Yarrowia lipolytica: one gene and its partner. The protein of the gene in region 2 purifies or fractionates together with the protein of the main gene of each other region. This does not show direct contact. Links are inferred from orthologs where the notes say so. Each region holds a gene or a part of one and is shown on either strand. Other genes may lie near its edges. The genes, in order: YALI1_B08438g and YALI1_B21562g.

The links.
Region 1: the proteins of YALI1_B21562g (region 2) and YALI1_B08438g purify together in Schizosaccharomyces pombe (affinity purification with western blotting; 3 studies listed by BioGRID). This does not show direct contact. The link is inferred for Yarrowia lipolytica from reciprocal best matches to the Schizosaccharomyces pombe genes mcm6 and cdc45.

The regions. Positions count from the first base shown.
Region 1 is NC_090771.1:837,367-849,177, reverse strand, and holds YALI1_B08438g (uncharacterized protein), read left to right. Parts: upstream 1-5,340; coding exon 5,341-7,329; downstream 7,330-11,811. Other genes in the region: YALI1_B08461g (uncharacterized protein), read left to right, coding at 3,055-4,692; YALI1_B08401g (uncharacterized protein), read right to left, coding at 7,454-9,016; YALI1_B08374g (uncharacterized protein), read left to right, coding at 11,660-11,718, 11,764-11,811. UniProt on the Schizosaccharomyces pombe protein: Required for initiation of chromosomal DNA replication. May have a role in regulating the MCM proteins nda1 and nda4.
Region 2 is NC_090771.1:2,151,587-2,163,397, reverse strand, and holds YALI1_B21562g (uncharacterized protein), read right to left. Parts: upstream 7,130-11,811; coding exon 4,364-7,129; downstream 1-4,363. Other genes in the region: YALI1_B21628g (uncharacterized protein), read right to left, coding at 1-548; YALI1_B21618g (uncharacterized protein), read left to right, coding at 1,560-2,906; YALI1_B21594g (uncharacterized protein), read right to left, coding at 3,055-3,539, 3,586-3,768, 3,908-3,968; YALI1_B21538g (uncharacterized protein), read right to left, coding at 7,788-9,521. UniProt on the Schizosaccharomyces pombe protein: Acts as a component of the mcm2-7 complex (mcm complex) which is the putative replicative helicase essential for 'once per cell cycle' DNA replication initiation and elongation in eukaryotic cells.

The DNA of each region.
Region 1 (11,811 bases), about 1.3 Mb from region 2:
GATCGCACTTGCTACTGACGCCTCGAAAAACGGACTTATTGACACAAAAAAAGACATGATTGTATTCACCTCAATGGTGCATTTCGAAGAGTACAATTTAAACCTTATTTTAGTAACTATCACTAAAAATCAACTGATACTGCTTGCTCTCCAACCTTACAAATCATGCACCAAAACGGACATAACAAAGTGAGGCGACGGACATACTCCCGTAGAGTTTGCCTGGGTTTGTCAGAGTCACGTGATGACGTGATGGTGACGGTGACGCCTGTCGGTCTCTGGGTGGGTCACGTGTGCATCAGAAGGATGGAATGTTGTGGAACGTTGACAGGCAAAAAGTTGTGTTCTTGTAGCTACCGTACATACTGTACTGCGGCGGCCACCTCTAGGGCTTACGTAATCCGTAGTCACATGACCAGAATCGGTCCCATTGCAAAACCTAGCCGGACCGGTTGATCCGGGAGGTGCACCCGAGCAAGCTTAGAAATCACCGGCTGGGAGATTCCGAGATGGACCGAGCAATGAGTACAGTACATACATTCTGTACATATTGGTAGAGTGCGCGATTGGCACATGCCCACGTTTCTGGGAGTATTTTCCGACGCTAGCATGGAATCATTTTGAAGCTCTAGAAAAGGTGATTATTCCGGTCTACTTTGTTTGGTTGTCAGACCATTATTGGTGGTTTGAGGGGGTGGCGGGGATAGAACGTTGTACATAGGGAGACATATACAGGGAGATGCTCTGATAGCTATACAAGGTAAGTCGACTTGAATATTTCACCAACTATGAGTCTGGGGTGTCGTATACTTGTGTAAGTACTGTAAGAGTCTTTTGAATTCTTTTCAACAATTTCAGGTCTGTCGTCGTTTCCATACATGTCTCATTTAGATCGTGCAAACCAACCAGACGATGTTGGTGTCATGTCGGACAGTAAAAGGTGACGTGACCAAAATGGAGGGGTCAATAGCAGGCACAGAAGCGGGGATACTGCTGGGGAGTTTATCCTACTTGTACTTGTACAAGTCCAAGGGTTTTTATTGGTTCCGTATCTTGTTTTGAATGCGTGCTGGTACTGTAGATCTACTTGTAAGATTCCAGTGCTTCACCTCGTTGCAATCAAGTCGGAGATGTCCCAAATTTCCACATGCTCAACGTTCAAACGGCATTTTTGTCGGAACCATCGATCTACAGTACAGTAGCTAGGGCATGTCTCAGACTTGGCAGCTGGGAAAAACTGCTTTCCGCGGTGCTAAACCCGCTGGAGACCAACTAGTGTTCCTCGGTAGTTTTTCCAGCTAGTCTCCAGGCCGACTCGGGGAACTAGGCTCCAGAATGTGGAATATGGAGAGAGAACGTCCTCCCCCATATTATTTGCAAGTCTCAGAAAAGTCACTGAGTCTGCTTCTACTGAGTTAGGCCTGAGACATGCCTGGATGTGAGACTTGGTTGTGTCAATGGATAGAGCCGCGTCTATGGCTTTTGAGGACAGAAGCAGTTCGGCTACTCGACGATTTACTCAACGTGGAGCCATATATCAGACCACACGAATGAACCAGTCTTTTGGGCACCAGACCAGAACCACTCCACCTGGTTCGTTGTAGCCGGAAATTCGGCACCTTTTAGCACTTTGATAAATCCAATAACAGCAACGTCTCGACCAAAAAAGACCTTGAAACTCGGTCACAATCCCACCTCCATCTCACTTCTCACACTCAATCCTCTGTCTCACTCTCCTACCCCGGAAAAATAGTGCCGTATGACGCACTTCTAGCGGCTTCATATAGTCGACCCCGTCTAGACCCCATACCCCGGAAGCGACACGGCTACTGATGCACGCACGCAGTTTACTACTTTGTGAACTGCTCGAGAACCGTCTTTGTATTCTTATCAGGCCCATACCCACAATCGCAGAGCACATTCAGACCCACTTCCCCCGTGAAGCGCCCAAATCACGTCTGGACAAACCCGGAAAAACAAACGGGCCAAAAAGTGGAGAAGAATGTAGCCCCTCAGTCTCGCACTAGCTCGTCGGTACAATACACGTACATACGTATAGGTCATCTGAGACCGTGTTGAGAAGGCCAAGGGTTGAACCTGTAGGTAACATGGACCCAAAAATAGCGTGGAAAATCCAACTCTACACGTGACCAAGGCTCGGGAAATGTCACGCTTTTGTTAACAGCCACCCCCCTGACTCTTTTCCCATTCAAAGCTCGTTTTTTTATGTTTTCCACGCTCCTTTTTAGCCCATTTCAAGCTCCTAACAAGGTATCGTAGCCCCACATAGCCTAACGCTAGTTTTCGATTTTGGGGGAGGCAGTAGTACCCGTGGAAACTGCCAACAGATTCAAATTTTAAAGCTATGATTTGGTTCCCCCAGATGAGGTGAATCTAGCCATTTCTTTTTGTTTTCGACCAACAGTCTCCCCCAATGGCGTGAAACTTGGAGACCGGGTACGTTTAATGCAAACCAAATCCAAACAAGTAGTTGCCGTGCGACCTTGTCAACACCGTGATTGAGAATACCAGCCCGCGGAAACACCAACAGGGACCAATTGCTATCGCAGCAGACATTCATTCATGTGATATGCCATATCCACAGCCTGCGAACGCCCCGAAATCTCGTATTTTTCTGACATGCTTGGCATCTTGGCTCCTCCTACAAGTAGTAGACTAGAACTCTGCGGGGAAGACAAAAGAGTCGGTAGTGCCGTGACATGTATCAGGTGTTCAGCCGCTTGTCGGGGCCGAAGACAGAGGTGTATCTGGCAACTTTCGGTGTCAATTGTGCAACCTGGCGATTCGGCAAATGGGATACCTCCCATGACCATCAGGACCGTCCTGGACCGTCCTGGACCACCCACCCAAGACCACCTGGTAGTTTCGACCCATACTACAAGTACAAGTACTGTACCCTATAAGTACCCTACAAGTGACTATAACCCGTCTAAAAGACCCCCTTCGCTCTGCAGATAGCTTGTCTCACGCGCTAAATGAAACAGTATAAATAACAAGTCAACGGACTCACGGTCCACCCCCACCCCCCAAAAAATGATTGGAAACGCTCAAATTAACCAGGTGGGAGCCTTACAGCACCGGTTCCCCAAACTCCACAATCCTTACTTAACTGCGGCCGTGGCCACCATGGGTGGTCTGCTTTTCGGCTTTGATATCTCGTCTGTTTCTGCCTTTGTCGACACCAAACCCTACAAGGAGTACTTTGGGTACCCCACCTCCATCCAGCAGGGCGGTATCACTGCCTCAATGGCCGGTGGATCCTTCCTGTCGTCTCTGGTGGCCGGCTGGATTTCCGACCGACTTGGTCGACGTTTCGCCATCCACTTTGCTTCCTTTTGGTGGGTGGTTGGAGCTGCCATCCAGTCCTCAGCCCAAAACAAGGGCCAATTGATCGCCGGTCGACTCATTTCCGGCCTTGGTATCGGTCTGGGCTCCTCGGTTATCCCCGTCTACATCTCCGAGCTGTCTCCCAAGAAGATTCGAGGTCGGCTTGTCGGTCTCTTCCAATGGGCCGTTACCTGGGGTATCCTCATCATGTTCTACATTTCCTTCGGTCTCAGTAACATCCACGGAGTCGCCGGATTCAGAGTCGCCTGGGGTCTGCAGATCATCCCCGGTCTGCTCATGTCTCTCGGTTGTTTGTTCCTGGAAGAGTCTCCGCGATGGCTAGCCAAGCAGGACAACTGGGACGAGTCCGTGCGAGTGCTTCGAGCCATCCACCAGGGAGGCTACGGCACCGAAGAAGACATTTTGTTAGAGATTGAAGAGATCCGAGAAGCAGTCCGAATCGAGCATGAGACCAAAAACCTGCGATTCTGGCACCTGTTCCAAAAGGACTCCATCAACCGAACAATGGTGGGTATCTGGGCCCAGATCTGGCAGCAGCTCACCGGCATGAACGTCATGATGTATTACATTGTGCTGATTTTCACCATGGCTGGATACACTGGAAACGCCAACCTGGTGGCCTCGTCTATCCAGTACGTCATCAACATGATCATGACCATCCCCGCTCTTCTGTTCATTGACCGAGTGGGACGACGACCCCTGCTGCTGTTCGGATCAATCGTCATGATGATCTGGCTGTTTGCCGTCGCTGGTATCCTTGCAGTGTACGGAACTCAGATCCCCGGTGGACTCGACGGAGACGCATTCACAACCATTGTCATTGAGCCCACTCACAAGCCTGCCCAAAAGGGAGTCATTGCGTGCTCGTACCTGTTTGTGGCCACCTTTGCGCCTACCTGGGGCCCCGGTATCTGGCTGTACTGCTCCGAGCTGTTCCCTCTGAAGCAGCGAGCTGTGGCTGCCGGTGTAACCGCCTCTGCCAACTGGATCTTCAACTTTGCTCTCGCTCTATTCGTGCCCTCGGCCTTCAAGAACATCAACTGGAAGACCTACATCATCTTTGGAGTCTTCTGTATCGTCATGACCATCCACGTCTTTGTCCTCTTCCCCGAAACCAAGGGCAAGACCCTCGAAGAGATTGATATGATGTGGGCCGCCCGAGTTCCTGCCTGGAGAACCGCAAACTGGGTGCCTGACCACGTTCCTGGCGCCCTTCCCGAAGACGAGAAACACTCGGAGGAGATGGTCGAGGCCGTCGAATCCAATGAAGAGGAGCCCAAGATAGCCAGTGCTAACGTCGACGCCCCTCCCCCTCAATTGTAATAGCAGTAATTAATAATGTAACCAGGTGTCAGCGACACGAGCACTGGTCTGAATTGTTGAATAATGTGTTGTATTGTACTCCACAATATTTAGTTGGGACTTAGTTTAGTGTCAACAGTTTATCCCATTGATTTAACAAATACTAAAGGCATTTATTTAACAAACCTTATCATCAAACCAGAGAATGTACGGTAACAGGTAAAAGTATACATACGCCTATAGTGGATACTTAGGAACCTCAAATTACAAAGGAGAAATCATTGAAATAATCCCCAACACGTTCTCTACAACATCCACTTTTTATATTTCTTACAACCCCTCTACAAACACCTCTACAAACATACCTACATACAAACCAATTTTTTTTCACCAACTCTACTAAAATCCATACTTGTTTCCACCCCTGATCTACTTGTAGTGATTGTGAGACACGTTATGGGCCAGTTTCCGCCCTCGCCTTTTCGATCACGTGACCAGGACACACACACATACACACACATAGATATACACCCTCACGTGACCACACCGACTGCACTTTCTTTGCAGTACCCTAACCTCTAATTACCGGTCTGCACACGCGTAACTTTACCTTGACGCGTCTTTCCACCACACCGAATCAAAGTGAGTGACGACTGACAACGACACACCATGATCATCCAACCAGACCAGTTTGAAGAGACGTATCGGGCGCTGTGCAAGACCAGTATTGCTCACATGACGTGCAAGCTGGTGGTGTTTGTGTCGTGTCTCAATGTGGACGCTCTGTGTGGAGCTCGAATGTTTTCTGATCTGCTGCGAGCCCAGTTGATCCCCCACAAGACGGTGCCGGTGACGGGCTACGAGGAGATGATTCGCAAGTACCGGGCTCTGGACCCCGAGATTCTCAACGTTTTCTTCATTGGGTTCGGTGCCACTCAGGATGTGGGGGAACTGTTGAGGGGGGACGACGAGGAGATGGAGCTCAAAAAGATTTACATTGTGGACGGAAACCGGCCCTGGCACTTGGATAACATTTTGGATTCCAAGATTGTGTGCTTTGACGACGGACGGGGCAATTTGGAAGAGCGAGGGGAATTGTTGGTGGCATACAACTGGCTGAACGACATGAGTGCCGAAGAGCTGGACGCTCTGAGTGATCTGGAAGATGAGGGTGACGATGACGACGACGATGACGACCAGCAAATTCATAAGAGAAATGGTCACCACACCAATACTGTCGACGACAATGATTCTGACTCCGATGGTGGTGATCTAGTGGACACTCTACTTCCTTCGAAACGGTCCAACTCTGAAGACCTGCCTGACGCCAAGAAACTGCATTCCCAACTTCTGTCGGCGAAGAAACAAAAAGACGACTTTGAAGACAAGATCAGAGCCTACTACCAGCAAGGCACCTCTCAGTCCTCCCCAGCCTCTTGCATGCTCTACACTCTCATGTCGCTTATTGGTGAAACGTCAATCACTCGCTTATGGTTAGCTGTCGTGGGAACATCTTCTCTGGACAGTCAATACCCGCAAGTATTCCAGGACTCGTTTCCCATGCTTGCAGATGAAGTAAATCGAGTCGGCAACGAAGAAGCAGCCGCCCAGATGGCCCAGAATGCAAACTCTGAGGCCCCCGTGTCAGAAAAGGAGCTGGTCACGTCTCTCAAACTCGAAACCGACTACTCGCTGTTTGTGCTTCGACATTGGAACATTTACGACTCCATGTTCCACACGGATTACATTTGGGCCAAGATGAAACTGTGGACGGAAAAGGGCCGTCAGAACTTTCAGAAGATGCTGGCCATCATGGGTGTTTCATTGACAGAGGCTCGAGAGGGCTGGATCCATTTGAAGGTGAGCGTCAAGCAGGGTCTCAACAAACGAATCGAAAAGGCGGCCAAGGTGGCCGATCTGGAGGATCTTCTGCGACCCGGAGTGGTGCGAAAGTTTGGATACAAGGGCTCTCTGACAGCTGGAGATTGTGTGGATGCTGCTGGTGTTATTTTGCAGCTAGGAATGGACAAATCACCCGCGGGATTGGATCATATTAAGGAGGGCATTCTGCTCACAGTCGACCAAGACTATCGTGACGAATCGCAACGAGACCAGTTCTGGATAGCCAACTTTTGGAGCGCCTGGGACTCGTTGGAAGATGTGGATACACTGTTGCTTGGAATCAGCAAGGCCAAGCTGCTACAACAAGCTGTGGCTCGAACTACTACTGCATTGATTGAAAAGGGCCAGATTCGGCCCGTGTCGGACTACTTGGTGGCTGTGGTGAAGGAGGGACCCGATCTGGCCCTGTTCAGAAACCCCCTGGCATTGTGTCGACTGGGTATCTGGATTGCCCAGACAAAGGCCGAGGCCCACAAAAAGAAGTATTCTCCTCCACTGGTGCTGGCCTCTTTGGACAAGAGTACTGGAAACTACATGGTGTTGGGCATGAACCCTCGACAGGCCCGAGATTACCATTTTGTCATGGAAGAGGACCTGGAGGATGACCGATTTGTATTCAACCAGTTTACTCAGCGGTTTGCGAAGGCCGCAGAAGATGTGCATACGAGATACAAGATGGACATGTTTGAAATGGCGGTGATTGAGGTGGATAAGAACGACTTGACGCGGTTTTTGGAGCGGTTGACTGTGGTCTAAAAACAACGGTCATGTACAACAAATACTTACATAGGATACATTAATAGAAGCATTATTTAGTAGAAAGTAACGCTTGCTTGTATAGATGCGACCCTCTATGACTATATACATTGTTGCCTCTACTCTATGGCAACATAATACTGCCGGTATTTTCTCTGGACGCAGCACCAAGCAGAACCAAACTGACAGCATCGACAGCCATAAGGGCAGCCTGGTAAATTCTGGGTGCGGAGATAGTGGTCACAAACAGTACCGCCAAAATCATCTCACTGGGAACAGCCACCAGACTCCGCGCTACACCAATACCTCCCATGATAACAGACATGTTCTCGGGCGGTCCAAGACCCATCTGAAGAGCAATGGTGGACGAGATGAAGGTACCCGAAAGACCTGAGAGAATGGCAGCCAGTGTTCCGATGGTCTGAGATGCAAACAACAGCTGAAAAAAGCCAACCACAAAAGTCAGAACTGCCTGAAGCTTGCATCCAAGGATAGCCACAGGAGTGGAAGAAGTGGTGTTATTCAGCAATTTTTCCGCCGTGTTGACAAACAGAGGTCCTAGGAAGATTTGGGACACAATTAGAATGATTGTAACTTCCACGTTGAGAATGGTAATCTCCTGCATGCCCCAGTTCCATTGGCGTTTGTAGAACAGAAAACCAGTGTACTGAGATGTTCCATACAGACCAAAGAGAGCCAGGTAGGCCAGCAGGAAGGAGTTCTTCCGTTTATCCTGTGGAGAAGGAGCCAGACGAAGCACTTTCGAGATTGGTGCCACAAAATTGAACACGTAGATGAGTCGCTCGTCCCATTTCAAGACGCTCCACTCCGCATCCCACTTCACAGTAGCTCTGTCCCGTGATTCGAGCGTCGTTGATTCAGGAAGGATCACAACGACACAGCACACACCAGCAAAGACAAGCATTAGTCCCAGCTTGCTCATTTCAGCAAACGACGATCCGGCGGCGTTGGTTGCAACCACGGTGTTGGCTAGCATGGGGCCAATCAGTGCGCCCAGAAACAGAATGAAGGCGTAGAAGAAGGAGACATCGGTAGCCAGCTCCTGCAGGTTGCGCTTCCCTTTACTGGCAGAGGCTGCGTCAGCAAGGTAGATGAGAAAGAAATCCATGAGAAAGTGGGTGCAGAAGACAATGTTGGGGATGATCCATAGGAACAGAGGCACCGACAGAGCGTAAGTGACGAACCCCCATTGGAGCAAGTAGGCGAACAGAACTGCCACCATTGACATGACGATGACCGGCTTGCGTCCGTAGCGGTCTGAGAGCTTGTAGATGTGAATTTTGACCAGCAACCCTACCAAGGATCCTGCAGTTCGTAGTCGTCCTCCCATGGTCGCAACTTTGGTGTGGATTGCGTCCGTTTGGCACGCAGAGGCGTATTCCGTGAGACTGCCATCGTTAAGGGTGCGTCGACACACAGCAATGAGAAATGCATCAGGTCCTGTCAGCTGCAACACACCGTAGCCGAGGTAGAAAAAGAACAGCGAAGTGACAAGAATCGTCACCCCTGGTCGTTTGAAATAGCCCAATGAGGGGTAGTGATGAGTGGATTGGCTGGGCAATTGTGTCTGTGTCGTTATTTGGGTCCGTGTCTGTGGCTGAACCACTGGACTCGTAGTTCGACCTGTTGTCGTCGTGGGGGGATTCGCTAATGGTGAGCCGTTCATTAAGATGTGATATGTGTGAGATGCAAAGAGACGAGTCGGGCTTATGGTAGATGGATCGCTCGGGGTTGTTTTGTGTGTATATGTAGTTAGTGCCGTTTCTTGTCCACAGCACCTGTCTGTGTTTATGTTATGTTGTTGTCAACTCTCTTGGTGTGTTGTCATAATTCTGATAGTGGTGATAACAATGGGGTGCAGGAACGTGCATCAACAAACTGGTTCCGAGCTGTATGGGGTTAGTGAAAGTCTAGATTTCGACAATGAAAGAGGCCCGAGTAGCGCAGGTATCTGTGCTATATATCCCTCGGTTCGCTCGTTTAGGACATTCTACGCGGAACTACAGGACATGTATTCGTCTCGGTCACACTTTTTTATCCGCATCGTTTTAGGTTCCAACAGATAATGTCGTAGGGTGCAAATGGCACACTGGTGGCAATTAGACACTTGGTGGAAGAGTTAAGTGGAAGGGCTGCGACCGGGGCTACGCCCTGGTCGCAACATATGCACGATTTAGGCCGTTCTTCAAGAGACAGAAACGTCTGTGGTTGGGTTGTTTGGCTTAACTAACAAATAGCGTTACTTGGAGAGATAGTTGACGGACGTGATTGAAATTGTCAAGTGGAGGAGGGAGAAATGAAACGAGGGAAGACAGGCTGAAAGCAACCAGTGAGTGGTGTTGGATATTTAATTGGGGCTTCAGAAACCGAAGCTGAAGTTTCCACCTCTCTCAGCATCTCCCAGTAGTTCTTAGTTGCTCAGAAACAAGCCGTCATTTAGGCGCCGTATATATGTCGGTCTCTGGAGTCTTTGAGAGGCGAAAGGAAGATGCTGAGTCACTGAAAACATTTCCAGCACCAAAATACAACATTCAATCAACTCCATATGTCCCCAACACACCTCTGACTTCCGCAATACCCATTCTTGTTCTCAACCAACCCAACCCATAGCCATGACTCGTAGCACGTCGCTCTGACTCCCCTAAAGACTTCAAAAACACTCACTGAAACTCATATTTCTCATTTTAGTCAACTCTTCTGGGCACCCTGGGTACTCTCTCATTCTCTGGCGTTCTGTTGAACTTGTGAGTTAGAACTGTATCTGTCACACCAGCGTTTCGAGAAAGTCGATGTACTCAGAGGCGTCATCATACGTCCAAAAACAAATTTAACACTCTTTGACGCTATAAATACTCCATTAACAAGTCGCCTTCTAATTATAACATCTTCTCAGGTCATCAAGTGTTCTATTTTCGACTACAGCACACGGTACAGCGCTCCCAGAGAACCCAGAAAAAAACCACGCAAACACATTGTAGTACTTTTATTTAGCTTGAAAATGATGGCGAAGACGGAAACACTAAGAATGGTAACTTTGTCGTGTTCTACATGGCTCAAAAATCGATTAGTTCCGTCGACAGTAGCTACAGCGAGTGAGTACCGACACATGACTACTAGGGATTCGTGTAATTCTCCAGATGCCTCTGTATTCTATTCTTAACACTTATTCTACATCTTTCACATTGAAAAGTTTTCTCTGCAATGTATTTTTGGAACAGTCAGTGTGTGGAATGCAAACGTGGAATGTCTCAAGGGACCCTACCGATTGATTGGCGTAGCAGATACTGTCAGAGTACCGGTAATTGGACATTGCCTAAGACATGACTAAGAATCCCTTGTTTGCACACCAAGGTCAACTAACTGATCAAACACCTCTTCGGGAAACTCCTCTTCGGGAAACTCCTCTTCGGGAAACACCTCTTCGGGGAGGAGTTCGTATTTCTCAACTGTATGTACACACTGTACGCAACTACATAGCGCCATATCACCCGACAACTCAACGGCTGGCTTCTAGAGGTTCATGTAACATTGCTCAAAGCAGGGGATGGAAGCAATCGTCGAACACCATTGTATATCAGTCCCGCGTTCGTGGAATTTTGCTGGCGACACATTTGAATTCACTCCACCTGGCCAATCTCCGACATCGGAACTCAGAGTTATGTCCAAAACAAAGAGGAAAGAACGGGAGACACAAGGGCGGTCCAACTAATACGCATTCCAGGTGCATCCTTCTAGTATGGGCAACTCCCATAAGTCCCCACTTATACCTCCTATCTCTAATCTCCAGAAAGGTAAACGAACTGCCATAAACGGCTCCCCACGTATTCGTGTTATAATTAGACTAGATGATTAACTTAGACGTAGAAAAAGCAACGAGGATGCTGGGTACTGTAGCAATTTACCAGCAACTTTATTGGCACGTTTCTCTGTTGTGTTGGTTGAGGCAGTCCAGAAACGAGCGGTACTGTACGTACAGCAAAGTCTTTGCTGCTACTCCAGGGCTTCTGCCATGGCTCCTCTCTCTTGAGAAGAAGAACAAACCAAGGCAACGTTTGTATCAGGCACGGGAGATGTGTATGGTTTCGCCTAGATGACGTTTATTACCCGTTACGACCAGGTTTCTGCTGGGTTTTTCGGTCTCTGAAAAGTTGTAAACCCCAGATCTTGAACCAAGACGAACACTTCAACGGGCTTAACTGTACAAGTACAGTTGGTAGAAATACAAAAACAAAAACGTGCATCAAGTTTTCATATATACATTCACAGAATATGTCCGAATTTGAGTTCTTCTGACCTAATCAATCAGCCAATGTCCTCCTGCTCCTGCTCCTCCCCTCTCACGTCCACTGTTAGGGCAATTTCAGCTCAGTGAACTTCAGAATATGCTTGGAATAGCTCTTCTTTCTACCCCAGAGATGATGATTTGTTCGGTCTCGTCCTTTTGACCGGACTCAGATCTCG
Region 2 (11,811 bases):
ACGTATTCCTTGGAAAACCGTGATTTGCCCCACGATAAGCAGAATGAACTCTGCAATTGCCGACTGGGGGCACTACTCAGTGTGTTGGTTTCGAAAATGTTAGTCCACGAGCTGATAGCATTAGGATCCAAAGCCTCATGAATCTTGAATTGTCCATCGGTGGAGATAGATGCCAGCTTGAGACCGCAGTGGCTAGGCGAGAAGGCCAGGTCGTAAATAGGCCCCTTGTGATCGGTGATAGTGGCCACCCGCTTCCATCGCTTTCCACTGTTCTGCTTCTCGCGGATGTTTTCCTCCCAGATCTTGATAGTAGAATCGTGAGAACATGTGGCCAGAACCTTGCCGAACTCGGGATTGGCCCAGCACACCTTGATGATGGAGGCATCATGGGCCTTCCAAGAGTCGCTGATATCCCATTCGCCAGTCGAATCGTTTCGGTCAAAGACCTTGACAGTGGTATCGGACGAACAGGTGGCAATTCGACGGCCGTAAAAGTCGTACGCAACGTCGTGCACCAGCTCCTCGTGTCCAGTGTTGAATGGTTTCATTGTTGATGCTTAAGAGACAGTCTCGGTGATGTAGAATTGGAGGTGCGATAATTTAGAGTTTTGGGAGGAGACAATGTATCTAATATTTGTAATCCAGCATCGTGCCCCATGCACTGTACGAGTACTCGTACCGGTACTTGTACTGTAAGTACTTGTAGGTGTTCTGTGATGTGAACCTCAGGTGGAGGGTAGCTCTGTAGAAATATTAGATACGAGCTATCGCATTGGCACTTTTGGTATCATCTTGATCTTATTGAGAAGACTCAAAAAATCTGTTATTTTGTATCTACAGTAAGAGAGACTGAAATCTAGTGAAGCAGTATCTTCGTATGTTGAAAAGTGAAAGGAGCCACTATCCATACAGGTTTGTTTTCACTATTCGTGTTATCTTTATTGTCGTGTTATGATTGATGTTCAAGGGGAATGTGTAGGATAGCATCATGATTTTATTGCGGTGTGCTTAGGATGTGTGATCGAACTCAGCTCACATAAAAGCGCTCGAACGATAGCAGAAAGCTGATGGAACTACTACAGTAAAGCGGTGGGTAGCAGCTATGATACATTCCATCAGTTTTATTCGCACGAGTCCAATATTGACCATTTCAAGTGTGCTCCCCAACTTCACAAATAAACTCAAGAAGGCTGGTCTCAGGAGGCACCAAAACACTCACTGTAATACAATTACTGCTGTTCAGGAGAGAACTGTTCTCCACAACCAGAATCTATAAAGCAATATCGAGAACGCCACTTCAGACCCAGATATACCGTGATACGGTCTTTTTACACGTTTGTACTACCACATAACCTGTACTGACCCCCTTATTACTCTTGGTAGCTGGTCTGACATCGGCTCGCTTATGATCCTGTAACACGCCGTTTACCATAATGCGCGACAAAAATACTACTCTGAATAAACTTTGGACATGCATACATACAGCATGACGTGGATCTACAACGACAACCTCGAACACGAAACTCCGTCGACCTCACGCCCGCCAAAACACACACATTATGTACTCGTCGATATGGACGGTACTGGCCATCTTGGCTCTTTCGGCCAGTCTGATTTTCAATCCCGCGGACCAGCCTCTTTTGTCGTCAGTCGGTTTCTCCCTCATCGCCTATCTGGTCACCTACAACCTGATTCCTGCACTTGGACCAGCCTTCATCAAGGTCGGCTTCTCGGGTCGAGACCTGTCCAAGAAAGACCGGCCTGAGATTCCCGAGACCATGGGAGCCGTATGTGCCATTGTCTACCTGTTTTGTATGTTTCTGTTCATTCCTTTTGTGTTCTACCAGTACCTGGCCAAAACCATCGGAGGTGGCGTGGTTGTGGGTTACGACAGCTTGAGCGAGGGACTGGTCAAGGGACGAATTCTCAGTGCGTTCCCTCACGAAAAACTCGCCGAGTACCTTTCTGCCATCCTGTGTCTGCAGTCCATGTTCATCCTGGGTGTTGCAGATGATCTCTTCGATATCAGATGGCGAAACAAGTTCTTCTTACCTGCCATTGCTGCCATCCCGCTGCTCATAGTTTACTACGTGGACTTTGGAATTACAGCCGTCATGGTTCCCGTGGTTTTGAGACCTTACTTTGGAGACATAGTGGACCTCGGGGCTCTTTACTACATGTACATGGCGGCCGTGGCCATCTTCTGCCCTAACTCCATCAACATTTACGCTGGCGTGAACGGCTTGGAAGTTGGCCAATCGGTTATGATTGGCGTGTGCATCTTGCTGAACGATTTCATCTACCTCGTTCAGCCCAACCACCCCGCTGAAGAATCTCATCTCTTCAGTGTCTATCTGCTGCTGCCGTTCCTGGCTGTCAGTATCGCTCTTTTGAGACACAACTGGTGCCCTGCAAAATGTTTTGTTGGAGACACCTACTGCTACTTCGCCGGCATGGTCTTTGCGGTTGTTGGTATTCTCGGCCACTTCTCCAAGACCCTCCTGCTGTTCTTTGTGCCCCAGATCTTCAACTTCTTGTACTCTGTGCCTCAGCTGTTCAAGATTGTCGACTGTCCTCGACATAGACTGCCTAAATTCAACCCCGAGACAGGTCTTTTGGAGCCTTCCCGGACCTACTTTGACAAAAAGAAGCCTGGTAAGCTTGGCCAAATAATGATCTACGTGCTGGAGAAGCTACACCTGCTGAAAGTGTGGAGAGACGAGAAGGGAGTTGTCATCAGCATCTCCAACATGACACTGATCAACCTGGTTTTGGTCTATGTTGGACCCCTGCGAGAGGATCACCTTGCCGCTGTGCTTCTGGGTATCCAGTTTGCTTCCGGTCTGGCTGCTATTGCGCTAAGACATTCAGTTGCAGCTATGATCTTTGGTAGGGACAACATTTAAACCACAAGTACAAGCTGGGCGTTCAACAGAGTTATTACTGTAACCTCGACTCTTAAGTCATTGGGTGTTACTAGGAGGAATGTATAGATATAGATAATTAATTAATAGAGTATGTAATATGTGCTCAACTGCGATACCCTCTATATATTTAATCCCATTTGACACCTAACTTGTCCATGGCCAGCTGCCGCTTTCTGAGCAGCTCGTCAGCCAACTTTCCAATCTCCTCAGTTTTGATGACGCCTCGCAAAGTGTAGAACTGACTGAGATCCTCAGCAAACTTGTGCTGCTTCTCGTACTCGTAAGTCTGCAGCATGAGCTCAAACTTGTCGATGTCCTTGACCAGTCGGGCCTCGTCGGTAGAGCAGTTCTCATATTGGTTCCACAGATCGACGATCTCCTTGGCTGCCACAGGGTTGTACTTCTCCACCAAAGCAGCCATGTAGATGATCGATGAGTGTTCTCGTCGCGACTTTTCAGCCTTTGTCATATCGTCAAACGGAGTGATGTCACCCACAATAGCCTCGGCCATATCGTGCACTAGAGCCATCTTGACACAGGTGTTCTGGTTCACGGGCGACAGAGACAGCATGGCGATGATGGACATTCTGTATTGGTGGTCGGCAATAGATTCTGTGTTAGTCCAAGCTGAGATCTTCCCTATATCGTTGTCACTCACCAGGATCATCGATCATCTTGTATCTCAGCCAGCCAGTTCGAGGAGTTGTCTTGAGCCGCTCAACAACATTCAGGAATGCCAGAAGCGACTCTGTGCCGGTGGCAGCTGCCGCGATTTCCTCCTTGAGATCGGCAGGAAGAGCGCCTTCAGGAGTCCAGTCACTCATGGTGTGCGTAGATGTTCCTGTGAATTTCACCCCCGAAGTTTAGTAAACCTAATCACACGCGTCTGACGCGAAGCCTAAATGTATTTGTTTGGAGAGTTTCTGGGTGGTGCACATGAACCTCCTTCCTGTGTCATTGGTTGTACTGGAGCGACTTACTGGAGCCGTCTTCAAAACATATCAGGCCTGTTTCACACGTCAAGTATGGCCTTAACTTCATGGTCTTATATCATGGGCTAGCTACTGTTGCGCAGAATCATGGGCTCTAAAAATGAGGCTTAAATCGTATCACCCCCGCATACATGGCACTTGTATATGGTTGAATATGTATAAGATCCCGTGATTATATAAGCTAGAAATATAACTTACCGTACTCGTACGTGTATTAATAGGCATCTCTATTTTACCCTAGAGGCGGCTTACTGTATTTACAAACATTCTTCATCAGCTTTCACCTTGCACATCTTGCTATAAATACAAGGAGATCATAAAATTAATAATCTCTTGGAAAACAATAAAAATAAAAATACATTAATTAGTTACTTACTCTCTAAAGTCGTGTGGTATGAACTGAGTGTGTATTACTGGAGAGCTATCCTGAAAGCTCATTTATCCCTACTCGTCATCAGGCATGACACCTCCTGTCTGTCTAGTCTCCTCCAACTCAGCGGCCGCAGCGTTAGGATGGATCACATACAGCTCAGTTCCATCTCCTGGGGCCTCCAGGTCGTCTAAATTACCTCGCACGGTCATGAGAAGGTTGTTCTTCTTCATTTTCTTGATGACCTTCTTGGTCAGCCGAGTGTGGTTCTCCACATCCTCCTCATCAACCATATCTTCCTCGTATTGCTCCAGCACGAACTCCAGTAGTGCATCCAGCGACATTCCGATTCTACTGGCATCGGCATCGTCGGTGTAGTTCTCCGATAGCTTGGACACAATCATGTTGACCATGTGTGTGTATTGCTGGTGAGTGATCTGGTCCCGGGGTGTGTGGTTGGCTAGCTGGGTGGCTTCCATGGCCTCGTCAACGGCGTCCTCGGCAGCGTCTACGGTGTCCTCCTCCTCGTCCAGAAGCACATCTTCCCGCTCAACGAGAATGATGGTGTCTCTGAGCAGTTTGGCAGCCTCATGAACAAAGGCAGGGGAAATGATGGTCGAACAGTTGGCTCGAGCAATGGCCTCAGAGAGACGGATCATGGACTCCAACTGACGAACGGTGATTCGGTAACTGTTTCCAGCTCCGGTGGCGTCGTCGGCTCGGAGTTGCTGGTACTGCTGTACAAGAACTGCTCGGGCTTCGGGGGTCAGCATGGGCTTGAAGGTACGGGCGTACTTGATAAATCGCTGCAGCTGCTCAGTGGAGAAGGGAGGGTCGATGGCCTCATCAGTATGCATGTGCAGGTCAACGACATGGCTGGCCAGAGCGGTATCCGTAGCCTCATTACACTCGTCAAGAATGACGAAAAACAGATCGAAACGAGACATGATAGGAGCGGACATCTGCACGTTGGCTCGCAGACCGAGTCTGCGGTCATACCGACCCTTGGCAGGGTTTGCAGCGGCCAGGATGGAAGTTCGGGCGTTCAGAGTAGCGTTAATACCGGCCTTGGCAATGGAGATAGTTTGTTGTTCCATAGCCTCGTGAATTGCCACCTGGTCTGCCAAATCCATCTTGTCGAACTCATCAATAGCACAGATACCATTATCAGCAAGCATCAAAGCTCCAGCTTCGATGGTGAACTCTCCAGAGTCTTCATCCTTAACCACAGCTGCTGTAAGACCTGCAGCAGTGGATGCCTTACCGGAAGCATACACAGATCGAGGAAGGAACGAGGTGACGTACTTAAGGAACTGGGACTTCGCAGTGGAGGGATCTCCAACCAGACAAATGTTAATATCTCCTCGTAGTCGAATTCCATCAGCTGTCTTCTTGTGCACTCCTCCCATGAGCTGCAGTAGAATACCCTTCTTGACAGTCTCATGACCGTACACAGCAGGAGCAATGGATCGTACCAGACGTCGGAAAATATCCTGTCCGTGGACCATATCACGAAGCTGCTCCACTTCGGCAGACTTCAGACTTCGAATGTACTCCTCTTGTTCGTCAGCAGCGTTCTCGGCGTAGTTGTCGTTGGCAGAGGCGTCCAGAATGTTGGCAGGAGCAGCGTAACAAGCTAGGAAAGATATCCTGTAGGTCAGATCACGTGCTCCAAGCTCTCTGAGTCCTGTGACGGCTCCAGACTCCACAGCAGAAGTTTCTCGGCCTCCATCTCGAACTGCTCGAGGCTTCACACCAGGCAGGCCAAGCTGAGTGACGTCAGGAATGACAACAGGTGCTCCAGTAAAAATCATCTGATCTCCTGCTCGAGCTCGCTCCACATTTTCACCTCTAAGAATGACGTCGATGGTTCTGGGCATAGATCCAGCGGGGATCTCATGTGCGTTTTCCTGCACACGCACCTTCTGCCAATCCAAGAACACAGAGTTGTCCATCAGCAGCTTCCACATCTTTTTGTTTCCGCACATGGGGTTGGGACAGATCGAAGGCTCTGTGTACTTGAACACCTGCTCCACTCCGTCCACTTCAGTATGACATTCCTGGCACTGGAAGGCTCCCAAGTACAGTTCTGGACGCACTTCGGACGTTCGAGTGACAGTACCCCCTAGAGAAATAAGACAACCAATCTTGTCGGTCTTGAGTTCCCGAATTCTGCACACGACAGGAAGGTTGTGGAAACAGATCTGAAAGTGTCGGGGCTGATCTGAGGCAGACGACGACTTGGATCCTCCAAACGTCGAACTTCCATCCTCAGAAAAGCCTACAGACTGTTGCAGAAGCACGGGCTCAATCTTTCGAATCACATTGGTCAGACCTCGCAGCAAAAATGGCATGAATCGGTAGTATTGGTCACTGATGGCTTGGGCCAGAATACCATCTTCAGTCTCGCTCATGTGTCTGTAGTCCACGAAAATTGACGACTTGTTGAAACTTCGAAGACCCTTGATTTGTCGTACGTAAGGTCGCCCGTCATACGCAGTTCCATCCTCGTCATCAGAGTACTCTTCCGGATTTGATCCATCAACGTAAGTCTCCAGAAACTCTTCAAATAGATCACGCACCTTCTCTCCAGTGGCGTCCTGAACCTTGGGAACTGTTTCTTGCTCCATAATTCGCCGCATTCGCACCTCCTCGTCCGGAGGTACATCCATGGCAGCTGGTTCTCTGTATTGGTCAGAGCTAGGGCCTCCATGAGCAGATGTGGTTCCAGGTGTTCGTCCTGCGAAAGAAGAGGGCAAATTGGCTCCGGGCGAGGAAGGAGGGCCGGGGGAAGAGGGACCCTCCATCCCCTCGGTCATTAATTGGTCGACGAGGTCCATGGTGTGTTCGTGTGTGGTTTTCGGTACGATGTGTTGTGTTCAGGAGGATTGGGATATATTCTTGTCCCATGCAGAAAACACGTCGTCTAGTTACCCGGCTTAATTTAGTCCTATTTTGGCAAGGAGAACGCGTCGCGTTCAAACCTTAACTGGAGCCCCTAGCAACGTGTTGGCGGAGGGGGTAAGCAATAAACCGACATACAAACGCGGCTTTGTGGATTTATCTCGTTATTTGGGTTGACAAAAACAGGTTATTTCTACATTATAGGCAAACATGGCGCACAGCACATAGTACTCGCCGAGGTGCACTGTCATCAATGTGGTGGGTGTTGGACAGAGCGTGTGTCAAATGTCTGAAGTACAAGTACAGTATGTACGTATGTACAGTATGAGTATGAGTATGAGTAAACAGTACAAGTAATACTTGCATGTATATTTATTACTTGTGCTGTAATTGTACGGGTACTTGTACTTGTGATGTAATTGTACAATTCGTATGAGTATATATATATACTGTATCGTACGATGCAGACCCCGAAGTAGTGCTCCCATCGCTCCTCGTATGTACAGTAGCGATAAGTTGAATGAAATGTGCACTTGTCCTTGTACTCTTCAATTAATAACAAACAATATATATATATAACACTAAATGCAGCGGTTAGCACCAGAACTTGTAAACTCGGTAGTAGAAGGGCTTGGAGGCAATGTAGGCAGCCTCTTCGTCCATCTCATGCATGAGCAGCTCGAAGTCAGTTTCTCGTCGTCCAGTGTCGAGGTCCATGTCCTTTAGAGCCACGAAGCTGGGCCGTTTCCACAGCTTGAAAAAGATATAGAAGGCCAGGACAACAGGTACAGCCAGGTAGGCCTGGAAGAAGACGTCAGCCTTAGGCTTGGCACCTCCCACGGGGAAGAGAGCGATCCAGAACTGCAATCCAAGCACGGTTACGTTGAGCAGGAAGCCGTACATGGATCCGATAGTTCCGACGTGAGACAAGAAAGGCATTTCTCGGAGAGATCGACCCTGGACCTTCATGGCCATTCGGAATCGGAAGTGGCACAGGTTGATGGAGCCCCATGTGAAGATGGAGGAGAGGCCACAGATGGCCATGAGCCAGTAGAAGACGGTGTTCTGGGTTTCGATAGGACCGGCACAGATGAATGCAAACAGTCCAAAGAGCGAGACTGTGATGATGCCAAACAGAGGTCGTCCCTTTCGATCAATGTAAGCGAAGAAGGAAGGAGCCTGACCTTGCTGGGCGAGAGCAGCGATAGTTCGAGAGAAACCAAAGATAGAGGAGTTGCCGACGGACAGAACGGAAATCATAATGACGACGTTCATGACAGATGGAAGGCCCTTGATGCCGGCAGCCTTGATGGCAATGACGAACGGAGAGGCGGAAGCGTCAGCAGAAGAGCTCTTGTTGAGCAGCTGGGGGTGGTCCCAGGGAACAAGGAAGCCGACCAGAGTCAAAGACACAATATAGAAGAGGGTAATTCGCCAGAAGACTTGCTTGGTAGCAGTGGGGATGGACTTTCGGGGATTGGCGGTCTCGGCAGCAGCCAGGCCAGCCAGCTCAGTTCCGTTGAAAGCAAAGGCAGCAGACACGAAGACGGCACAGACTCCCTTGGCACCAGCAGAGAAAGCGCCGGGGTTGTGCCAGTATCGGCCTCCGATGTAGTCGTGGTTGGGTCCTCCTCCACAGGTCAGAACAATAGCGAGAATGATGAATCCGACCACAGCAATGACTTTAATAAGCGAAAAGTAAAACTCGGCTTCTCCGTAGCCCTTGACTCCGAAAAAATTGATGGAGACAATTAGCACCCAGAAGATAGCGACCCAGCAGCCAGCATTGTAGTTGGTTCCGTTAGCTTCATTCCAGTAGTTGACCGTCAGACTTGCGGCTACGAGCTCCAGGGGGAACACAATAAACCAGTTGAGAGTGTAGTTCCATCCCATGGCGAAGCCCCAGGCGGGGTCGATGAATCGAGTAGAGTAAGAGGCAAACGCGCCGGAGACGGGGAAGCAAGCACACAGTTCTCCCAGAGAGTGCATGGTGCAAAACAACATAGTTCCAATGATGGAGTAGGCGATGAGAATGGCTGCCGGTCCTCCAGTGGCCAGGGTGGTTCCACTGCCAACAAACAGACCAGTTCCAATGGATCCTCCGATGGCAATCATCTGGAGATGTCGTCCCTTGAGGGATCGACTGAGAGGGGAGTTAGCGGTTGCCAGAGCGGCCTTTTCGAGATCAGAAAGACCCTCGGTGTCGTATTCGCTCAGATCGGCTCGTCGGAAGGAGTCCTTGAAGTTGGCCCATCGTCCGTTGTTGGCCTCAGTGACAGATCCCTCCTCGTGGGGAGAGTTGGTTGATACCACTTCGTTTTTTTCCATGTTCACAAAAGATGCAAGAGAGAGGTGTAAAGATGTGCAATAAAAACCCGCTCAGTTCAAATGAGATGGATTTCTTTGCAACAACACTTTTAGAGTCTACACTAGCGTCCCATACCAACGTTTATAAGCCAAGGTGGCCGGGTGTAACATGCTCTAGGTTAGCCGTGCAGCGCAGTGAACTGTGTTTACTGGTGCAGGTAAAACAAGATAGCCGTGTGGGGAAAGAGGAGAGGCAAATTTAGGAGGTGCAATACTCATGTGGACTGATTTCCGGCAATATTTGTCAAAGGAGAGAGAGCATTTGATACAGATGGTTACTTCCCTGATTATTCCTTCAGCACCGAATGCATGCAACTCTGACCGTTAGCTCTTGGCTAGCATTAGACACACACTAAGTGATGGCTGATTCGGTCAAGTAGCGTGACCAAGCCCGATCAACTGGGAAAAAGAAATACAGCCCTAGAAGGGCATAGATGCATATTCTCTTCTGAGCTACTGTTCCACTTCTCTCTCGCCGAAAAGTGCCTTACACAGACCTTATTGCTTGCCCATGGCTCCACGTATTTTAGCTTTTTAGACTTTGCTTTTTTCCCCATTGCCCTTTTTTCTGTGCTCTCCGAGTCTGCCTCGTTTGTCTTTACCCCACCAAACGGGTCCAGCTGTACACGTTGCAGACAAGGACTTCGAGGAGAAACATGCCACCTAACGGTTCTAGACGGACCTTGATCTCTGAAAATATTGCTCGCTTAGGTGGAAAATGCCCATGACCCCAAGTGCGCTACCGTAGATCTAGAAAACCAGCTAAACTAGCAAGTCTAATAGGGGGCACCGATACCGGTATATAAAGCTCCGACACCGCTCGAGTTCTCTTACCTACGCCTCGCACGCACAAATGGCGGCTTCTACGCGCACATAAAGCGGCTTTTGATGTATGCTGTGGGATTTATGAAGGGCAAGTTTATGTGCCTATAGGACGCACGCTGTGAGGGAAAATGACGTAAAGGGGGGCGTTATTAAAGGAGGCAAGTTTAACAGCGTTCGACTATGGTAGAATTAACATTGATGCAAAAAAAAACCTGTTTGTCGTTGGGTTATCAAGCCGACGAAGTCCCTTCTTTACACTCATCCTGGGCAACTCTATGTCTATTGTAGAGTCTCCACAGCCGTATCTCAGCCTCTCCATCTTAACTCAGCCTCCATAATTAACTTACCTCTGCTCGGAACTCTATCATCCTCGCAATTTTATTTGGCAACGCAAAAGGGAGAGTGGCTCATAACCGGCGGGGAAATCCCGATATCGGAAAACTCCACTCGATTACATAGACAATGAATTTGTAACTTGTTTATTAGGTCACGTGACATTTTATCCCCATCTTCCCAGAGGAGGGGAAATGGGGTAAATGCTTGGTTCAGCAACTTGTTGAGTGCACCTACTTGTACTATACGTACCCATGAGATACATTTAATTATTCAAATCAGGAAACCTCACCCGAGAGTCCTCCCTGTCTCACGTGAAACCGCTTTGTTGTGGCTCTATCCAGTCTGGCACATCTTCTGGTCTGAGTCTCCCCGCCGGGTAACGTTGTGTCCGCTCTAACGGAAGAATAGACTGGAGGCAGCAGGCTTGGCAGCTCTGCCATCACGTGTAATTCTGAGGAAAAGAACTCCACGCCGTGTTTTTTGAAGGGGCAGCGGCATTGTATATTGATCGACTTCAGGCCAGGGTAGCATCGGAGATTTCTGACCACGTGAGCGTGAGCATCGTCTCAAAGACAGTCTAGTTTAGTACATACAGTGTACGTCGGTGGCAGGTGGCATGGATGGTTCGGCTCGGCACGACAGATTTAGGTAAGAGCTTCTGCGCCGAGACTTGGCCGTAATCGAAGACATCTGCTCGAGGACGATAAGCATGAAAATATTTGCCATCCAATAGGAGAGCCCCAGAGATGACGTCAGAGCCGCGCCCTCACATATTCTGTGATGGACTCTCTCTGGTACAATGCAAGTAGCTCATTCTTAGTAAAAAATCTAGACCGAAGGAACGGGCATGATTAGGGGACTCTCCAATTATTGTATCTCAGTAACTTCAGTACGAGTACAGTTCGTGGCTACTGTACTGGGTACATACATACTACGGGTACAGTAACACTGTAACTCACTCTTCAGATTACTATAACTTGTAGTACTACTGTAACCCTTGCACATTCTGTATATTATAAAGAGTCGCCCGTTACTCATAAGCCTATATGATGATGTCTCAATCCATGGAGTTACCAAATACTGAAACACG